Linked DNA regions of Lepisosteus oculatus. The protein of the gene in region 2 purifies or fractionates together with the protein of the main gene of each other region. This does not show direct contact. Links are inferred from orthologs where the notes say so. Each region holds a gene or a part of one and is shown on either strand. Other genes may lie near its edges.

Evidence for each region.
Region 1: the proteins of kpnb1 (region 2) and kpna6 purify together in Homo sapiens (affinity purification with mass spectrometry; 4 studies listed by BioGRID and IntAct, with this or other methods). This does not show direct contact. The link is inferred for Lepisosteus oculatus from reciprocal best matches to the Homo sapiens genes KPNB1 and KPNA6.
Region 3: the proteins of kpnb1 (region 2) and nup214 purify together in Homo sapiens (affinity purification with mass spectrometry; 3 studies listed by BioGRID and IntAct, with this or other methods). This does not show direct contact. The link is inferred for Lepisosteus oculatus from reciprocal best matches to the Homo sapiens genes KPNB1 and NUP214.

Annotation. Positions count from the first base shown.
Region 1 is NC_090706.1:3,284,785-3,292,673, reverse strand, and holds the start of kpna6 (importin subunit alpha-7), read right to left. Parts: upstream 3,077-7,889; 5' UTR 2,925-3,076; coding exon 2,921-2,924; intron 2,869-2,920; exon of another isoform or gene 2,498-2,868; intron 1-2,497. Other genes in the region: tmem39b (transmembrane protein 39B), read right to left, coding at 5,102-5,338, 6,062-6,182, 7,326-7,513. UniProt on the Homo sapiens protein: Functions in nuclear protein import as an adapter protein for nuclear receptor KPNB1. Binds specifically and directly to substrates containing either a simple or bipartite NLS motif.
Region 2 is NC_090723.1:10,479,193-10,486,322, forward strand, and holds the start of kpnb1 (importin subunit beta-1), read right to left. Parts: upstream 3,004-7,130; 5' UTR 2,767-3,003; coding exon 2,727-2,766; intron 1,983-2,726; coding exon 1,924-1,982; intron 525-1,923; coding exon 342-524; intron 1-341. Other genes in the region: npepps (puromycin-sensitive aminopeptidase), read right to left, coding at 6,284-6,439.
Region 3 is NC_090719.1:15,565,389-15,572,305, forward strand, and holds the start of nup214 (nuclear pore complex protein Nup214), read right to left. Parts: upstream 3,077-6,917; 5' UTR 3,058-3,076; intron 2,912-3,057; exon of another isoform or gene 2,877-2,911; intron 2,770-2,876; exon of another isoform or gene 2,346-2,769; coding exon 2,304-2,345; intron 1,639-2,303; coding exon 1,443-1,638; intron 917-1,442; coding exon 765-916; intron 374-764; coding exon 175-373; intron 1-174. UniProt on the Homo sapiens protein: Part of the nuclear pore complex. Has a critical role in nucleocytoplasmic transport.

The DNA of each region.
Region 1 (7,889 bases), on a different chromosome or scaffold from region 2:
ACAGACAAGAAGGGGTCATTCAGTCCAGCAGGCCAATTGGTAGTTAGCAGCTAACTGGTCCAGGGATCTCGCTCATGTGGCCGTTTCATGAAAGAAGCCAGGGTATTGTTTTCCCACAACAGGGCTTGTTCCAGGCACCTGTTTTCAGCTCCGGTGGAAAAGTGCCTTGAAAAGAACAGGGAGACACCTACTATCTGCAAGCTGCTTGGGACCGAAAAACTCAAACTCAGATTAAGATAAAATATATAAAATGTAAGGTGCAACTAAGAGATCTAAAGCAAAACGTCGACTCACTTCAAACTATGCAACTGAGCTGCATGACACAAAAAGTATCGAAGATATAGAAGCACTTGAAAACGATCGCTTCAGAGTTACCAGCAGCAGAGCAGTTAGCAGCTCCGTCTGTTTTTCCATGGAACCTGTGCTCCTGGTCTGGGACACGCTCAGGGAGCTGGGAGGCAGGGCCAGACTGCAAACACGGATATCTCAGCGCAGACGGCACCTGCCTGGGCTTCCTTCTCAGGTACGAGATCAAACCGGACAACTTCCTTCCAAACGAGCAAACTCTCCGAGAACCTCCATTCCCTTCCTAAAAGGTTCAGGGGTGACTGCGACCTCTTCCGAAACCGCTAGCAGGAACTGCATCTCCCTCTGGCACTTCGCAATTCAACACCCCACCGTGTTCTCCAAACCTCAGGACAAACGTACAGACGTCCAGTTCATTTTTTAAACACACAATGCTAGATCAGAACCACTGTAATCGGCTAGGAATGAACAATCCAAGGAAGTCTGAAAAGCCATACCAAGAAGAGGGTAATTGTTTTTTTACACAAAAGACCTAAATTCAGTCAATACATGTGTAAGTGATCAAAAATACAAAATGTTCTATGCGCTGTAAAATGTATGACCCTTAATTTACATTTAAGCTGCTGAGAAAACAATGCATCACATATATATGCTTGTGACCGATACACTGTGATACCTTCAGCAGCCCCAGACTATTCACTCTGGGTCAGAGCTGTCCAGCAAGTGCCAAGGCCTGCTAGTCGGTCTTTAATGCCAGCAGGGCCTGAAGAGCAGTGAGAAGCAGTCAGATGGGTCCAGGCAAGCCAATAGCAGTCTGAGTGAGGTCACAAGGAGCTGAGCTGGACTGAAACCCTGCAGTCGCTCCTCCAGAACCACACCTGGACACCCCTGGTCCTGTGATCTTCACGTCCAGGGAAAGTGCCATCCTGGGCATCCAGAAATGAGGAATAACGGATCAATTCAGTCTTTTTGGACTGCCCCATCCTGGTCCTAGAGATCCACACTGCAGCGGAGCCCCTGACCTATGAATCCTTAACTGGACAACAAGTTGCCTGATTGGAACCTCTGCAGGTTTTTTTTATCCTGGTACTCAGAGGTGGTGCTGCACACTGGTGGTTGTGGAGGGGAGTCCCCATTACCTGTAAAGCACTTTGAGTCAGCGAGTCTAGAAAGGCACTATGTAATTGTAAGGAATGACTATTATTATTGAAGGCTGTAGATTTTACTGACAACTTAATAGTTAAAAGGCAGCCTCATAAATCTTGAGGAACTCCAGGGAAAGAGGTTTTACTTGACCTATCATTAGCTATATTAAAGGAGCGATTACTTGAGTGCTCAGGTGGCAGAAACACTAACGGGTCTGTGGTTCTGCAGGGCCAGAATCGAAACCCCTGGCTTAGAGACGATCAAACCCAGGACACCTCCGCATTTACTGGTCCCTTACGACTCTGTCTGCAGTTATCAAATACGATGCCGCAGAGGAACAGTTCACGATGAATATCGGGGGCCACCGACTTTCAGAAATGAAGCGTTTCCCAGCTAGGGTGAAGAATATACTCGAGAGAGCTTAAGCACATGAGTCACTGCCTGACTCAAGAGCCTTGTGCAAATATGAATCAGATCCTGCATGAACAAAACAGACCTAAAAACGTGTGAATAGAAACCGACCCGTTTAAGTCAGACAAAGGCAAATTGAATTATATCTGAAAAACCGGGCACAATTAGATCCTTTAAATCAAACTCCATTCTACTTTAGCGATACTGCAAAAAAAAAATCTAAATCAAATCGGGAGATGATTCCCTCTTTCTTTAATACAGAGGTTTCAAAAGACAAACTAGAGAGAAACGGCGGTAGGCCTGCCAGTTAAAATGTCGGAAGCCGCCACACCAGCGGTTCACACAAATTTAATGTATGTGGAAATATTGTAATTCTTGAAACGCCGTTTTCGATCCCCTCCCCGCAGTTTCTCATACGACGTAGAGGATATATGAAGAAAAACAAATACTGTGTTGTACATCCTACAGGCCAAAAAAGAAACAAGAAAAAACTTCTGATAATGGAAATCATCGGATTACTAAAAAGCCACAACACGTCTAGTACTAAGACAGTGCATAATGAGCCACTGCTATAAACATCCAAATCAAGATCACGTTTTGTAGGGTTTTTTTTATTATTATTTATGTTACGTACCATGCAGACAGATGGAGTGACACTGTGAGAGTGGGTAATATTAGGGAGCGTTTCTGCAATTTTTCCGCCTATGGCTGCTGTAAAAGGTGTTTTTTTTTCCGCTCCCCTCCCTTGGAAACAGCCGCACGGCCTCTCCTGAGCTCAGGCCCGTCCACACAGGGCCCACACCCGGGAGCCGCGCCGAGCCGCGCCGCGCCACGCCACGGACCCGTCCCCAGACAAAACCTGCCGCTTGAGTCGAAACGGATCCCACCCCACCCCTGCCCCGTTTTCCAGCAGAGACAGGGCCGGGGTTTGACAAGCGTGATCTCCCCCCCGCCACCAGCCCGCACGGCTGAGAGAAACTGTGACCCGGGGAATCGGCCCGTCTACCGACGCCCTCTCTCCGCCTGCTCTGCGGGGAGCTACACGCTTTCAACTCACCCATTGCGGCAGATATACGTCCGGTGACAGCCCCCCCGTGTCTCTCTTCTGTCCCGATTTCTGTTAATTTTAATCTCACACCCGCTCTCCCTCCCTTCCAGAATTTGCTGTCCGCAGACAATATGTCGGAAGACGACGGAAGCCCGGAGCAGCCAAATGGCTCGTCGTCGCGTTTTAGAAAAAGGTGGGCGGTTCAGAGCCGGCGATTGCTCGGCGAGGAACTACGCCTGAACAGCTCTGCTGACTGATGCACGCATGCCGATGACAATCCAAGTTGAAGCATTCATTCAGAGCTTCGCAGTTAGATAATAAATGATGCCATACAAATTACTCACACGTACGAGATGAAAAAAACTCTCTCTGAGAGTCAGTCCTTATTTTAACTCCCAAGTAGTAATAATAATAGTAATAATAATAAACTTTATTTTATATAGCGCCTTTAAAGGTGGCTTCTCAAAGCGCTTTATAGAATGACAACAACAATAAATAAAAAGAATACACAAGATAATACACAAGACAGCTAAGGTTCAGCTTGTAGTGTTAATTTGTCTGTAGCCAAACAGCAATTGCAATTTATGCGTGTTCTGGCAGTGCCTATCTTGAAAGAGCTGTCAGATCTTGAGTGGGATATTATGGTCAGGATAAGTTGTGTGCAATCCTTCCTTGTCATGTCTTCCTAAACGTTTTTTCAGCAACATTCTCCAAGGATTCAATTGTCTGTCTGACATTACTAAAGAAATTATAAAACCAGCCAACACCTATCCGAGCACCTAAAGAAAACACTCCAAACATGCCAGCTGCACACAGAACGTGCCACTGTCCAGAATCGAACCCAGGACTTGAGAGCTGCGAGGCAGCAGGAATAATCGCAATGCCACCATCCCAGAAACAAAGACATTAACCATGTCTAGAACACAAAATTTGTAATGTTGTGTTAATTTCACAGGAACTCGTACCTTGATTATTATCAACAGAAAATCCAGAGAACTGATTCATTTTCGATGCATTTAAAGCTTAGGCCCCTACATTTCAGCAATCCAGCTGCATCAAATTAAACTGTAACAAAGTCCGTGAGGGGTAGATTGGTGAACGGCTTACTCAGCAGAGTCAACTCAATAATCACTCACACAGAGCACACTGATGAACTGTCCATCACAACGCACTCTGAACAACAAAAGAGCTGGTTATCTGCAAGATAGATTATCTTCAAAACAGTCAGAAACTGTCCTCCATCTGAACGTCAAGCCCACAGTGCCTTTGCTCTTTACTGTGCAATCAGGTGTCCAGGATAGGGACGGAAATAAAGATGATCTTGAATTTATTTTGGCTGCGACATTTGTACCCTGAACCACAGTCGCAGCCCAAATTGTTTTATTGGCATCCTTCATTGCAAGCAATTGTGAGTAGTGCATTTGACTTGGAGGATTTCTATTCTTCAGTTACAAATTATTCAGCTATATCTTTCCAGGGGTTTAATGAATAGCGATTCATTCTGTTCACCGGTGGTAAGGATTTTCAGGCAAATCGGCTGAACCTAGACTACCAATGATTTTATCAGCAGTTCCAGGTATATCCAAAACACTATCTTGCCTCATAAATTGGAGACAGTTGTGTTTTTCTGTGCTTACATTTGGACTCTGCACCCAAGTGCCATCTTTGAAGAAGAAACAGAACAAACATTCCAAGAGAAGAAAAACATCTTCATTTGCCGTTCAAACACTTTTTAACTGAGAGAAGCAGTGATGAGACAAAGCCAGCAGTCCAAGACATCTGGAGCCACAATGTGTTGATGTGTTGACATTTGCAAAAGAGTATCAGGGGAAAAAACACTATCAGACTGATGCAGTGTGTCATTTTATTTTCTTTCAGATCTTTTTTATTGTTGGCAAAAAATCTTCGGAGACATCTGTCCCAGCCAGTGCCACATACTCTGAGGATGCCCACACATTTCTACCATTGTACTGTCTACACACACACAACCCCAGCACACAAGCGTTCAGTAACACCTCAAATACAACCAAAGAAAGAAAGGAAGACTCTTTTAAGGGAATACAAAAATATGTTTTTTTATTATGGCAGAAAAGAACCAAAAACAAACAACAACGACACGAAGAAAAAAAAGCACTTGTAGAAAAAATACAAAGCTCTCTGGCATATTCTGTAGTTGTTCCATGGCAACATTTAACTTATTTTCTGGTCAGAAGTGCTGCTTGAGGAATACGAGTAAGCCTTCCCTAGTACTATCCTGTCCCGGAGTAATTTGAAGAAGGCATAATAATTACTGAAGAGGATTAAAGCCAGTGATATCGTCTGGTGCCACTTCTCTGAACAGATCAAGGAGTAGAGCTGGTAGAATATCATTGCCCCCTCCAGGATGATAAGGATGTTCAATATCCGCAAGGGCTTGTTGAAGAAAAACTGCGGAAGAGAAAGAAAGACCCGACAGGTGCAGACTGGGTAAGTGCACATCATGTTTGCTATAATCTCAGGTGTGCTTACCTCACCGACATACATTCAAATACATGTTCACTCTCAATCTCACTGGCACTCATTCATAAATATCCTAACACAGTCTCACTGACATACTGTATAATCATATACAGTTATATTCTTCCTGATCTATATTAATGTGTTTTCTCACACATTCTCACTGACATATATTCATAAATATTCATGTATGTAGTCACACATTCCCCCTGATGTATATTTATAAATATTCTCACCGACTCCCATATATTGTCACACATTCTCCCAGATGTATATTCATACATATTCTTCACGATATATATTCATATACAGTATATTCCCACGCATATAAAATATTCTTATAACCCACCACTCATTATTTACTCATTTATGAAAAGGTAGCCCTTTCAGTAGAATTGCAATGCTATTGTAGGGAGTTTGATGGGGTGGAAGAGTTGTATAGGGTACATGCTGCTCCACACATTGTGCTGTAGGAGGTACTATCCTGCAGGTGAGATATTAAACTGGGGCTCCAGGGCTGTTTGTAAGAGCAGAGGTGCTAACCCTGTTGTCCTGGCTAAAGTTCCCCCTTCACTGAACTTAATCTGCCGAGTAGTGGAGCTGCTGTGTGTCACCCAAGAGAGAGAGCTATGTAAAGTAATTACTATTACTTACATAAAATCGATAATGTGATACATCCGAAGGAACTGCTACATTATAGTGACCCATTGCTTTGTAGACATTCTTGTTGTGTTTGACCAGGACTCCGTGTGGCCACATGTACTCTTCTGTCCACCTGTGAGGAAAACACTGGTCATTACAACAGCTCGGCCCCGGCAACAGCAGCTAATACCTGTTTATAATTAAAATAACACTTGCCATATGCTCCTATTGACAGACGGTGCTTTTGGACATTTCAGGTTGTATATTGCAAGAATCAGTTTTAACCTTTTATGCCCTGAATTTTTGTTTTCATGTAAAAAAAAAAAAGAAGTGCTCATTCATTATAGGGACGCTTTGTTAATATAAAAAAAGAACACACAAAAGTTTTGATTGTCGTACAACAAGGATGAGCCGACATCCCTGGGAAGGAAACAGTTCCATTTTCGGAACAACGGGAACGATGGGGTTTATTTCCCAGCGCTGCAGACGGCTCGACGGGCTGGCGGACACTAATATCCGGGGTCAAGCGGGGGGCTGGAATCCTGCGCGATGCCAGTGGCCTGAGGTTGCTGCCGTACGGAGAGCCCGCGGGCAGAGAATGGGGAATGTTGCCCCGAAACCGGAGAGAATGGGGAATGTGGCCCCCGAAACTGGAGAGAATGGGGAATGTGGCCCCCGAAACTGGAGAGAATGGGGAATGTGGCCCCCGAAACTGGAGAGAATGGGGAATGTGGCCCCCGAAACCGGAGAGAATGGGGAATGTGGCCCCGAAACCGGAGAGAATGGGGAATGTGGCCCAAAAGATCATCGGCCGTGGTCTCACAGAGATGAAACAGCTCTATGAGGACCGCTGCCGTGGTAGAATTCTGGCCATCACAGAGGACAGTCACCACCCCGGGCATGAGCTCTTCACCCCACTGCCCTCAGGCAAGAGATACAAGAGCACTCGGTCACTGACCACCAGATTCCTCAATAGCGTCTATCCACAAGCAGTGCGATTGGCAAACACATTTGGCCATGCCCCTCGGAGCACACCTACTCCATCAACCTCATTACGATTTCTTATTTACTGCACATCTGCAGGCATTGTTTACACTCAAACTGTTTACTTGTACATTGTCTACTGTTTGTTTGTATGTTGTCCTGATGCATTGTCCGCACTTTGTGTTTTTACACTTATTAACAATCGAGAGACTTTCTGTAAGTAAGAATTCCACTGTACCAGTACACGAACCGGGTCCACATGGCAATAAAGCTCGAGTTCAAGAGGACTCACGTGTGCTGCAGGACGTTGGAGCAGAGGGAGGGGTCCACTTTCTGCCAGCAGCCCAGGTGGGCGGCGGCCTTGTGCAGGAGGTCGCAGTAGCGGGGGGGCAGCAGGTGGCGCATCAGGATCACGGAGGTGCTGACCGCCACCAGGATGAAGAGCTCGCAGGACCACCTCTTGTCATAGTACTGCGTGCTCTGCAAAAAGGAGAGAGGGATCTGAGGACCACCTGCACAACGGCAACTTAAAGCACCGCCCGGATCATCCTGCGGTCCAGGGGCACAGGGCGGCAACCTGATCAGGGGCTGTCAGTCACATTTAAAAAAGGGCGATGAGTTTATTGGCGTTCATCCACAAACAGCAGAGCGCTCTCCAAAGCTTCTACAGTCTAATAGTTGAAAGTGCACAAAACTTGTTATACCACTGAAGGCAAAAAAAAATAGACAAGCAAAAATAACCGCATTAAAAAAAAGCTGATACAGACAATTCTTTACAGGATTTCTGCATCTCTTGGTGAAAAACTAGAGTTGCTCTAGTGTCCAAAGCCAAGGCACAGCCTTTAACACCGAGACA
Region 2 (7,130 bases):
CTGTAACAAGGAAAGTTGTCAGTATTGGGTTATTAAAAAAGGTCTGCTTATGTCTGCAGTGATACACAATTCCTTTAACTCCAGTTTAATAATAAAAGAACTGTCCATTTAACACCAGTGTCTAAAATAATAAATATGGAAGCTAGAAGTATTATAGAGCACTATGATGTAATAGTTCAAAAGAACACAACAAGCACCCCAACAACACCACCATACTGGCTTGATACACTTGTGTCTGCTATGAAGCATGGTGAATGAACCTACTTCGTCTCATATAAAGAACCGAAAAACTTCAGCTGGTAACTGATCAGTTCTGAATGCAGCAGCTGTGCCAGACTTACATAGTTCTTTATTTCTCTCCGTGCGTTGGCATCTATCGCGAGCCACCTCTGCTGATACTGCGTCTTCACATCAGGGTCTTTGGAGGTTAGGGAATTCTTCACCTGGAGGCCAGCCGCCACCCGTGCCACCTGACTGTTCCCCGGGTTCGCCAGCACTTTCGACAGTTCCACCAGGAAGGTAGGCTGGGAGATGAACAAGCCACAGATATGAGCCATCGCAGCCAAAGCAGGAGCTGACCCCTGACCCGAATCCACACTACAAGAGCAGCATTCCAAGCGGTAACCCCTTCCCTTTTAGAACAAACAGCCACTTCTGCGTTTATTATGTTCACTTCTGCAAGACCCTCAGTTAACACTCTCAGCCACAGCAGGCACCAGAGCAGTACTTTACCACAAAAATGTGTCCGTTCATTTTCTGTTAATAAATGCCTCTTCTGCCATTACGGATGGCTCTAACCGAACTGCTCGGCTGAGACCTAGAATGCAGATGCCTGCACGGCATGCCGAAACCACGAACCAGGCCGAGCGCTGGAAGGTCAACTCCTCAACTTATCCAGTGTGTTCTCTGGGAATGCCTTTGGACGTCACAATCAATCTCTGCCAACTATTAGTTACTATTAGGCCTCTGTTTTTGACTTTCACAAGTTTGTCCTACTAATTAGTTATTAGTTTAAAAAAGGGCAGTTGCCATACTTTTCCATACTGTTAGTACTAAATGACAAAGAGCTAAACCTTATTACATGTCTTAAAAAGATTTCAATTACTTAAAATAAAAGGCAACGGTAGAAGTAAAATGAGACGTTAAGCAGATTCATGGTAATCTTCAAATGCCAGTGTTTTTGTTGCACATGCATGCACCACTGCATGGTTGGAACAGAGCTTGCAAATAGCAGCCTGCACTGAAAAGGGTATTCTCATGAAGGTGGCTCTGAACAACATGAGTGGCTTCGTAGTTCAGATCTTTATCTTTGAACATATGTAAAAATGATAGATACTTTAAAGACCGGATTATAAAGCGTTCATAGTAGTATTGAAATTTGCACTTTAACTTATGCATAAGTTAAAAAATGACTATCTACGCTGTACACTGCACATATAACCACCAATCCGAACACTCTCCTTTGCTGAAAAGTAACCTTTTCTGTCCACGCCTACATCTGCAGAGCCTGGGGAATAACTTCAGGACATCGATGGTCATTCGTAAATAACTCTGTACCAGAGGTGAAAGCAGAAATTACTCTCGGTTTCTAAGCCAGATGCACAGACCACCAAGCCCGTCTGTAAGCGGTCAGGCCCCGCGGATCGGCGCTCACATGGCCCCGGACTGGGCCCCTGCCTCTACCGAGCCCCCACGCCCTGTACGGGAGCCGCCATTGGACACGCTGCACGGGAAATCCGGGCCCGCGATTCTCCACGCAGCGCGTCAATCAAACTCACAGCCGATTACAATGGAGTGGGCAGCGGGGGCATGGCGCTTTTTCATTCAGGATCTTTTCTGCGTAATGGAGGACTTGGGCACCAGACAGGGGGCAAGAAATCTACGCAGAGCACAGACTGGGGGGGTGAAAAAACCAATACAAACCAAGTTCTCAATAGCTGCCTGCTCCAGAAACTTCTGCGCAGCCTCCAGCTCATTCCGATCTGAAATAAAATGAACAAAAATGTCGCTTAAATCCGCTAACGGGTACTCAATGAAAATACCCTTATAGATCAGCAATTTAGACATCTACACGGAGGCCTAGAATCGTACAGCTAGAAATCTCCATTTTCCTAGAAAATCACTCCCAGGCGGAGCTCGCAGGCGGCGGAGCGCCCCAGGCCGCGGCCGGCAGCTCATGCGGGACCACACGGACCGGCCGCCAGGGCTCACCGCGCAGGCGGGCACGCCGGAAAACGGCACTCAGATCCCCAAGTTAGTGACACCACTAATCTGCAGCCCCATCATTCGACTTCGAGCTGCCCACAGACCCACGATTTAAATAAATTGTACAGGAAACCACCGGTGAGATGCAGAAGTTACACCGATCCACGACCCGGCCTTTCGAGCCCTACAATTACACCTCCTGTTCCGATTAGGCCGCTTTCCCAGACAGACCTCGCCGGGCCAGCCGGTGCCCAGAGGCGCCCCTGGACTGGCCCAGGGAGGCCAGCGGGAGCCCAGGGGCCGCGCCGGGAGGCCGGGCGACGTGCGCGGGGAATCGGCCCCAGAAAGCCGGTCCGGCAGGCTTGCAGGCCGAGTCCACCCCTCCCTCCCTTTCACAAACAACTTTCCGTTCCGGAGCCCGATTCTCCCGGGATCCACGGCTTTCAAGCCGAACAAGCACCGGATTGAAAGCAGTTGTGAGGACATAAAGAGAAGTCCCGCGGCTCCGGGGGTATAATCACCTGGAGAGACAGTTTTTTCGAGGATGGTGATGAGCTCCATTCTGCCCGAGCCGCTCCACACAAGTAGTAGCTGGTAGCGCACCACAGAAACCGGATCAGACTCCTTCTGTATTCAGGCGATATGACATGAAAGTTTCCAAACGGAGGAGGGCGGACGATGAAACGCGTTTCCCCAGCGAGCGCCCGGCGAGGCGGTAAGTGCTCTCCGAGCGGCAGTGCTGCTGTCTGGGGGGAAGGAGCTGCTTCACGCTCCCGCGGAAGGATATCACGCGCCGCCGCAGTGGCAGAGCCTCCTCCCCTCCGGCGCGCCCCCGTCCCCGGCGCGCCCCCGAGGCCCGCTCCTGCCCGCGCCGCCGCGAGAGCCGGCCTGTCCCCCCTGCCAGATGTGCGCGCTCCTGCGGACGGAGCGGGGGCGGCTGTCCCTAATAACAGCAATATTCACCCGAATATTCATTATAATAGAGACGTCCTGTCTGCAGGATTACATCCACAAGCCTGTATGTAAACTATAGATCTATAGTTTACTGCAAGTCACATTATTAGCGTGGGGGTAACACAGCTAATGTTACAACATGGTGTAGTAACAGATGTAGTACAGAGTGAGGTACTTTAAAAAACAGCAATACGAGCAGCAAGGTAACGTGATCGGGAGAAACAGACAGGCGAAACGTGGGCTCAGGGATTGAGGAGACCGGCGGAGCGCAGCGCAGGCCTGGCCTGTAGACACGGGCACACCCAGACCCCGGCACGACGGGTGGTCTCACATCATCCTGCTGGCTCCTTCTGCGGCTCCAGGAATAATTACTTAGGGGGTCTTGCATGTGAGGAGCGGAGCCACAGTGAATCATTTTAGTATGTTGATTTTTTTCCTTTGTACCTCTTAAGTAAGCAATGCAGTATGCTGAATTTATGTTTTATCAGAAAGAACTGTAGCCGTCACCGATATCTATCACAGTATGCAAAATACACTTTCCCGGTGGGGTGACTTAACCTCCCCCCCCAGCCTCATGAAAGAGCCCTGAATATCAGTATTTTTCTTAAGACCTAGAAAACGAGATTTGCTCAAACAGTGCAACATCCGCCCTGTCGACGTTTAGCACGCCTTTTCTTCCGTAATCCACATTCAAAAACGAAAGTCAGAAAAGTAAATGTAGGAAGTAGATAGGAGCATTTTAATAGATCCGAAAAGGCAGATTCCTTGATAACCATCAACTCCGCGGCACTTTCCCGTGCCTTGTCCGTGTGTGTGCGGGGGACTATTTGACTCCGTCTGTGCAAGGATACACGGCCCGCAGGGCGCGATGAGGCGCTGGAAGAGTTTGTACTTCCCGCCCGGCGGTGCGGCTCGCGCAGCTCGCGGCCCGAGGGCGCTGGGTTTACAGACAGGGCAGGGCGCGTGGACTGCGCAGAGCTCGAGGTTTGCCCAGCGGAAGGCAGTGCGATTTGCTTCCAGGTATAACGCACAGCAGCTACACGAGCCCTGTTTAGTATAAAATATTCAAATCAACAGTCTCAAATATTAAGAAGAAATTTTGTCAGAGAGTTTAAGATTGTTCTGTTACATAACATTGCTGGATAAGGCCATCACCAGAGGAGGCCTGAAATGCTACAGAGAAGCAGACATTGCAGTTCAGTGGTATTGCAGCCATAACAGACAGCTCATTTACAGCTGGCTGCAGAGCACAAATTAGCTTGACCTCAAATTGCAAAAACTGTGTAAAACTAAAATGGTGTGCTTTGGTGTCCGCCTTCTGCAGGCTAAGGCTGATGCAAGTCAATCTTTTCTGAATAAGAGGTTACCGAACAGCTAGACTGGTGCTAAACGGGCCAATCCTCTCCTGGTTTGGTTGCTTGCTTTATGTTCAAAGTTCACGGCAATCAGATTTTAATATATAAGAATAATAAAAATCTGTGTTTTTCCCTCATAAAAGTATTTAATAGCGACTCAAAACTGAAAAACAACTGCTTGGCCTGCAGTTCTGCGGCCCGTGTGTGGGCCCGAGTCTCCAGTGTGGAGAAGCAGCTTCAGCTCTTGTGGCACCACTGCCAGAACAGCAGCTGTGCCAGTTCCCGATTCTCTGCTCAACACAGCAGCACGGTCCAAATACTGGACACACCCCAGGGAACTGGGTAATATGGAGATGCACTTCTCAGCTCAATCTCCTTTGGCATGAAGGATAACCGCTCCAGGTTTGCAAACATACACATCAACACTGTCATTGAAGAAAGGAGTGATGTTGGCATTCTTTCCTTTTATTACATTGCTTTATAGCAATATTTTGTTTCAGTTGCCAGTAACCTATGACTGACAGGTCCTAACAAGTTTGTAAGAGAGTAAAAAAGAAAAAGCGATTTCACATTGACACTTCTTGTTGATTTTTTATTTTATGAACACCAACCGTTTTTTAAACAAAAGCACAACAGATGTTTCAGGGAAGCAATTTGACAATTAGTTTGATGACCTTCTCCAGTATGGTTCAAAGCCACACTAAATAGCAAATTGTATGTAAATATATCCTTTCAACAAGTCTACACGTAGATTTGTAATGTTAGTACAACATTGCTTTATTTTCAGTGTAGTAACTATTACCACTTCACAGTGTAATAATTATTGCAAACCAGTTTAACCAATTTAAGGCTTCTTAATTCAATAGCCGTGAAATCCTAGTTACTTTGTGGCAAAGTTCTCAGGGCCTGAAAGTTTCATTTCTTTAAAACTAATTTAATATGCAGCATTATCTGTAAATGTCATTTAAAAGGCCCAAATCGCTTTGAAGAACTTTTCATGAGTTTCACAACTTTAAAACAATTGCTAAATCTACTAAAATATCTGTATCTAATTTTATTTAATGTGGCTGATACACAGATGTGTTTCCAGGCAGAGGCTCTGTGCTGCTCTACAGAGGACGCAGCTCAGGGTCAAGGAGGTGTGGGACCATGGAAAAGAAAAGAGTCCTTCTGGAAAAGGGCTACGAAACGGAGGAGGGAAGAAAATCATGTACATCACCATTCTTGAGTGAGAAGTCTTGCGTGAATAAACACTGGATAGATACATATCAAGTTCCATGCTAGTTTCAGCCATTCCCACTGAGCTATTCTCAGCATCACCCTTCAGCGCTGCTGTGTGCTAACGGCTGCTCTCCGCGCGAGGAGAAGTTAAGCCCATCCTGCCCAGCTCCACTTGACCGCCTGACCCCCAGTGAGGTGCCAGAGCTGCCTCGTGGTCGCTTGACGCTTTGTTTCCAGAAAAGCAAATTCATCATTTCACAGTACGCTCAACAATGCAACATTTCCACTTATGTCAATATGAAACAAAATTGGCCAGAATCATTTCACACCAACAATGTTATGTTGTGTGTTTTAAGTTATGTTGCTTAGTTACTTGCAAGCACGGTTCCGTCTGGGGAAAACAATCTGGCGTGGGCAGAATGGGGTTAACTACATTCATTTTCCAACCAGTCTTGTCTACTTGATGTGGAGAAGTGGAGTCAGGAGAGCGTGGCTGACTCCTCCCTCGGCCCCTGGCCCGGTTGCGGGACGGCGCGGGCCGCAGGGCGTCAGACGGCGGCGCTGGGTGGGGCTCGGCGCTGCAGGATATACTGGTGGATGTCCTCGGCGTCACGCTTCAGCCAGGCGGTGTTCAGGAGGATGTTCTCGCAGCACTGCTGCACCGTCCGCTCGGCTGCGGGGGCGTGGTGGCTCTCGAAGAAGCTCTGGGGGGGGGGGGCAGACAGTTCTGGTCAGTGTGAAACACAAAACTCCCCCTGGCAAAACTACACTCTGATGGGGTAATTAACACATTTTAGTGCACACTAACTATGGCTGATACAGGGGATGATGTTGTATTAAATTTCCCAAGGGAACCTGCAGGCTCTTTACTTTGTGTCCAGTATAGCTTCCTCTATGTGCTCTGTGCAGCCCCAGGGCCCAGGGGTGTGAGGTTTAGATGTGTGTTGTTAGATGGAGACAGAGCTCCTTCACGAACCTACACAGTCTATACACCCCCACATCCCAAAAAATATTAAATCCTTAATATTCACTGAAGAAACACTGATGAAACACGCTAACCATTAGCAAAAAGGCAGCGTGCGAGTTCATTCAAATACAGTACATATTGTGAATTTATAGTGGTTGTTGTGAGCTAATTAATGTGTGAGGAAAACGGGCTTTGAAATGAAAAAAAATGCCGATGATTGGAACTATTACCGCATTTGATACTAGCACTGAGGACTGGGCAACGTACATTGAAAGAGTGGAAATGTACTGCGAAGCAAATGATGTAGCAGACAATAAGAGAGTGTCTGTCTTGTGGAGTGTGATGGGAGCAAAGACATACAGGTTGCTCCGTAGTTTGTTAACCCCTAACAAACCAGCAGAAAAAACGTTCAAGGAAATCATTGACAC
Region 3 (6,917 bases), on a different chromosome or scaffold from region 2:
GGGAAATCTCTCTCTCTCCCTGCCACACGGTACATGTAACTTTAGATATGTCAATACAACAACAGTGCTTTAAGGCCTTGCACCTGCATCACAACCCATTAAACAGATCTGTTCATCTTAATGGGCTGAGCACACTAATCTTGGGGCGGATTAGCCACGGAGGAGCACGCTCACCACATGTGATTCCCTCAGTGGGGGGCAACTGAGCCTGCAGCTTGGCACTGTCCAGGACCTCCAGAACCAGCATGCTGCCGTCGGACAGGCAGGCCGCCAGGAGGGAGGGCAGGGCCGGGTTCCACTTCAGGTCCTTCACCGAGGTCCCCGGCTGCACGGCCGGCCTGAGGCTGGTGAACGGCAGCTTCTCTGGCCTGGCCTGAGGGGAGAGGCACGGCCACGTCAACGCGGTGACCTTCTCCTTCCTTCCTGACGTTAAAGCTATAGCTGCCACGAGCGCTGGCACTGAATGACAGGCTATACGGCAGGTACACTCAGCCTCAGGGCTGCTATTCAAGTGAGCTGCGCTGCCAACAGGTGGGGAATCTGTTCACTGCCACCCGGGAGGATGTATTGCTTTGTGTTATAAAGCTGCAGTCAAACGCAGTCTTTTTTAAGAAACACGCAACTACAGTGGTTCATGCTCGTCGCCATCCTCTGCTGGAAGGCTATTTTTCCCATTAATGCTTGAAAGCTCTTTTACAGAAAACCTCCTCTAAAGCTCCAGGGAGACGAGATGACAGAAGGAGCTTTCAGTGCAGAAAGCCTACCTTATTGAGCAGAGTTCGGACGTCAAAGAAAGACAATTTCCCCCCCCCCTCAGCGGACAGCGTGCACACCGACAGGGTGAGCTCATCACAGCTCAGAGCCACATGGTGCACAGGAGATTCCAGAGCAACGCTTGTACCATTTACACCCTCCACTGAAAAACAGAGAAATCCAGATGAATTCCTGCATCAACATGAAACACAGCCACAATAGAACTGCAAAACAAGAACATACCATAGCAACACAAAACTGATAACATAATTGATCAAAATGTAATTATCACGAGTATTGTATACAACTAAAAGCACAAGTTATGCTAATCTTTTACAGATTGTGCACAAGGATACACATAAGGCTCCTATAACACAGCAATCTGATTTGGTTTAGAGCTGTGGGAATCTTCTTAAATGCATACAGGTAAAGCAAAAACAAATGTTTTTAATATTGCATTTGTTTACTGCAATGCAAGAGTACTCAAAATTATTTTACAGGCTTTAGAGAGCTATACAATTTTGGACCAAAATGTTAGGGTACAGATCCTAAGTCTGAATTTGATACAGGCAAGTGCAAGGATTTTCTCTGGCTTGACTATATTGTTTAAATCTAACTGGAAACCAATCAGCTATGATCCATGTTCACACTCTGCTCAGAAGTAAACACCCTCTGAAGTCACACTGTACCTATTTCGTTGGGATTGCCCTCAATCCGGTTTGCTGCAACGATGTCACAGGTTTGGAACACTTTGAGCTCCGTGTCATAGCCTATAAACGTCAGCCCATACTTGTTGGAAACTGCAAGCAGGTTAGACCTTTCTTTCGGCAACTCCTCTGGGGTGTCAAAAATGCGGATCTTCTTCATCTGCCTAAATTGAAAATCCTGCAAACAACAAATAAAAAGCATTTAAGCCGTGCACGTACTCTTTGTCCTCCTTAAAGTCTCTTGTAAAAACTGTTTACTGAAGTAACAGACACTGACAGTGCTGTACAGTTACGTTACAGTCTGTGGACCTCAGACATGAAGTTTATCCCTCAGTCGCAGAGGCAGCATTCCACAAGAACAAGATCTGTTTTTTGCAAAATGATTAAAAAGCACCACCTTCCATTCCAGCAGGAATAAGACGGATTTACATATGTATACGATAAATTCAGAACTTTCGAAACGAAGAAATGAAAGTGAAAACAACACAGGCTCAAATGTTTGCCGGCATCCTCGTAGATAATGGGTATGGAATAGAAAAAACGTAAAGCCTAATCTAACATATCATCAAGAAAATAATTTGAATGCTTAACTTAAAAATATCGTATAACTCTAAGGCAAATAGCACATTACAAAATAAGAAAATACATTCTAGACATACGAAAGTGTGACAGGAGTATCTAAATACTTTTTTAAGAATAGCTTTATCGTGTTTCGACAATCACAGCTGTCACTCAACCACGGTAAAAGTCTTAAGAGAGGCAAACCACGAAGATGTCGTGCACTCGGTACTGCAAATCGACCAATGTAAACTGAAAGCTTCACAAATTGTTTCAAACACTTACCTTCATTTCCCTTTCGGGAATTGCGTCCAAATCGTCGCTCATCTTGTATCACCGCAAAAGCAACGGTAAATTAATAAATGCAATAGCAGAAAAACAGTCAACTGTATTAAGTTTCAAATTAGTCTGAAACTCAAATTCGCAATAGTTTCATGATTCTCCTGACACCATCATGGCTTCTGTCTCAGTGCGACTGAGAATCAACACATCCGTCGCATGTCTTACGTCACAGATTCAAAACTATGGCGCCTCCCCTTGAGAAAATCAATTTACTGTATTATCCGTCACGGTGTCGTGTTAAACATTACTAAAATTGATTAAAAAAATTAAAAGTGTTTCATTAGCTGTTTCTGTGCGTGTAAAACTTTTCAACCTCTTGTCCTGGCTGGAAAATTGAATTCCTCAGGAAAGTTACAGTGGAATGTATCAGGAAAATGTTGTTAGAAAATTTAAACTGATGAGCTAAAATACATATTGTGTGTGTGTGACAATACTTGCTACGTGCTAATATATGACATAAATTAAAGTAATACAAAACTAAATGGTTAAAAATAAAACACCACTTGGAAAACTCACAATACTAAAATAGTCCACAATGTGGCGCTGTTTTTCTAATAGTTTCCTTACAGAGCTCCGTGAAGTTGGCCCCCCTACAGAGCACAAACGATCAAACCCACTTCATTCGTTTGTGCAAGTTTGTGCCAGTTTGTGTCGTTGAAAGTAGTGTTTGTGCCGCTTTCGTTCCCAGATATAGCACCTTGTTTTTCCGGTGATCATGTAACCATGCACGGCGACCTTGACCTCCAGTGACCCCGCCTTTACACGTCCCTTGGTGCGTGTTTATTGAAGAAGGAGACGGTGAGAAACTGATCATTTCAGGGTTTTTTTTTTTAAACACACACTGCTACGAAGTATTGAGACGTGCTCGTTAAAGCCTCTTGGTAAGAACATGCAATTGTTTGCTGGTGTTCTCTCTTTGAGACTACACCCGCAACTCTTCTGATTAGGGTGTGTGATATTCGTGACAAATCACTCCAACGCACAGAGGACACTGATATTTAATGCAAAATCCACCGCCGCCCCCCACCCGGGCAAACAGAGGAACACAACTGCAGAGCCGTTCCTCTCGCACCCCTCACAGACGCTTGAACTCGGGGTCACTGGAGGTCAAGGTCGCGTGATCACCGGAAGGACAAGGCGCTATATCTGGGGAACGAAACCGGCACAAACGACTGAGACCGGTCCGGTTTCCCTACGACGTTGTAGGGGTTCTGGGCAAGGTCACCCCTGAAAAAGAAGACGTTGTATCTAAGGAACGAAAGCAGCTGGGAAGTTACTTTCAACGGCACAAACCGGCACAAACGCTGCACTAACGATTGAGGTGGGTTTCGTCGTTTGTGCTGTGTGTAGGCGGGGGCAACTTCACGGAGCTTTTCATTACAGGCTGTTGGGAAGTACGCGACGGTTACTCATAAATGTGATTATGATCCATTACTGCTACGGAAAACAACATGCTGTTGTTGTTTTCCGCAGACGGTCGCCACTGCAGGTTGAGCGGGCCGGCTTACCGGCGCGGTGACGTCACCGCCCTTCCCTGTGAATAGGGAGGGCGGCTCAGGGAGATTTCCCTTTAGCTCAACGGGCGGGGTCCCTGTTGAGTGACCGGAGGCCCGGGTTCGAGTCCCTAGCGGTGGGGGGCCGACCTGAGGTGGGCACATACCCCCGTGAACCCGAGAGCGCTGCAATATATTCTTTGAAATTCTCCCGATAATTAGACTTGTTTAGATAATTAGATTTGTAATGCCTTTATCTATGGTGATAGATATTCATGGGACAAAATTTCACAAGTGACCGTAACAAAGTTACTGTGCAACGAGAAGAGTGATGTATTGAAACTTGGTTTGAATCATCACCCATTGAGGTAAGAAACAGAACAAATACAATGTACAGAATTATTTTTGTACAACACTTTTCCACCCAAAGATTTTGAAATTACTTGAGAGACTGTATGTACTGTATTATTATTATTATTATTATTATTATTATTATTATTATTATTATGTATATATTACTGTACATTAATACATAAAATAAATATGCCCACTGTATTCACCCCCCTAGGAGCCCCACTACACTGCAGATCAGGTAAAGAAGTGCAAAATTGCTATAACTGCAATAAAATTAAGAGGGAACTTAACTTGGTGGGTGAGATTTTGAGGGTTTAACAACCTTTCTCTTACAAATAGGGCAATGGGTCTTTGGTCTTTGGAAACCAAGCAATGAGAACCTCAGATTAACATTATTAAAACATTCATATCCCTGTATTTAAATCTGATATAGTTAAAAAAGGATCAAAATAGATCCACATTTATTCCTGTATGGCATCTTAATAATAATTCAGATTGAATGTGTAGGTTTTAGCACTATTGTTTTTTAACCAAAAACATAACAAAACAACAATACTGCAAACGGCTTTCTGATTAACTGACAATAAAAGAAAACAAACAGTGTTTGTACTTGGAAAGGTCAGTCCCACTGATAAGCTTGTAGCAATTGTTTTACAGTTGGTTTCATTTCCAAAACCCTGGGTTGGACAGACTCAACAGGTTTTGCATTGAGAAGCCTACTGTTGACTTCTTATTGTAATTGCAAAAACGTTCGAAAATGTCTAATTAAATTCTGATTCATTTTTTAAAATGCCATTTCATTTATTAGACATCATGTTTATGCAGTTTGGTAACAGAAAAAAACTCAATCCATAAACAACAGAAAGCCAATCAGAAAGTCTGTTACCCTGAAACAAGGTTAAGGAGCTGTAATGCATTGAATATTCCTAACTTTTTAACAGCTTTCCTTATGTGCATTTGGAGCCCTGTTGATAATTATTCTGACTGTTGTTCTGTTGTTAACTTAAAATATCTTACTTAGACTTAAAGTTAGATCCAAATGTTCCTTTTACTGTTTGGTTATCTGTTAACCTTACTTTTGAAGTATTAATATTGTGGCTCTCTGATGTGTCTGAGTACATGTTCTACAGAATATTGAAAAGTACAACACAAAAACGGTCAATATCTTGACAGTATAAATCCATGAGAAAGTTAACAAAGGTGAGAAGGCTGTTCAGTCCACCTTGCACATTTGACTGCTTGTAGATAATTTATTCCAGAGAACCTTCTTGCAAAGCCTTTAACTGTTGATTATAATATAAAATCAACCTAATGGATGAAAATATTGTCTATATGTAACAAGGAATAGTTAGACAAGTGGGCAACACAATTCCTGAATTATGACTTTTAATACTCTGTCATCAACTAAAGACAACTTTAGCCTGGTCTGATTATTTTGGAAAGTTTCACCAAGGAGGAAAGGGACATGATCAGTTCCCATTTTCCTGTCTTTCTTGTTACAGACACCCACCACTATTTTGGTAAAAAAAATGCCTCCTGTTTCCAGTCCTAAACCTCCCGCTTTTAATTTCCATTATTCACAGATCTTGATTGTACAGTATAATTCCCTTGAGTTGAAAAGCAATATCCTTTGAATTTTGCCTGTAACTGCCTTATTTATTTTTATACGGTATTCAGAATGTTTAAAATATAACAATAATTCTCTGATCTGTCAGTTTACTGCAAACAAGTATTTTAACTAGCCAAAGTGTTCTAACTAGTGACTAGTGTTTAGAACATTACAGGGTGCAGGCAGTGTAAATAGGTATTAAAATATGGCACACATACTGTATACTGTAAAGTCTCCTTCCAGTGAGTCTCATTTACATAATGTATGGTAAAAAGGGTTATTTCTGTATAATATAGTAGTTCTTTCTAGTTTATTTCTAGTGTTATCAAGGATTCAGCTTATATTATAGTATTGGTAGCAGTGTGAAATGGCAGTTAGGTGTCTAGACTCATAATTGGGAGGCTTGGGTTTAATTCCTGGGTGGGGAACTCCTGTTACACCTCTCAGAAAGATACTGCACTCAGACTGCTCCAGCAAAATGCCCAGACATGTAAGTAAATGGGTACACATGTAAGGCGGTTTGGGAATAAAGCATCGGTTAAATAACTAACTTATTATATCATGTTATAAACAAGCAGACTGTTTAAAATTAAATAATGAAAATAATCTCCTTAGTCAATCTGTTGAATATAAAACTATCTAATCTAATTTCTTCTTTTCATTTAATCGGCGTTGTGGCACAGAGCTAATTAAAATAGAGCATGGGATTACAGTGTCACAGAGCTGTGAACGCCAGGCTCCAGAAGTCACATGTGGAGCCCAGAGTGCACATGTACATTCCTTCTTCCCTTCCTAATAGCTCTTGTCAGTCAAAAGCATTCGTGGTCAAGAAAACCCTAGTCTAGAAGAAAAGAGACTAACACGTCGGCTTTGTATTCTACACACTAGGTGGGAGATTGCTGGAATAATGGCAAGCGGTAATGGAAAGGACCCTACGGGGAAGATGCAGACATGTAAGAGTTTAGATTGTGTTCATGGAGTGCTGCTCAAAATTCCCCAACAGAAAATCCTTAGTTGAAGAGCAACCCTTGGACAAAAGGCTGTAGTACACTGCAGAGAGCCATAATCTAAAACCAGCATAAAAGGTTAAGAAAATGTCTG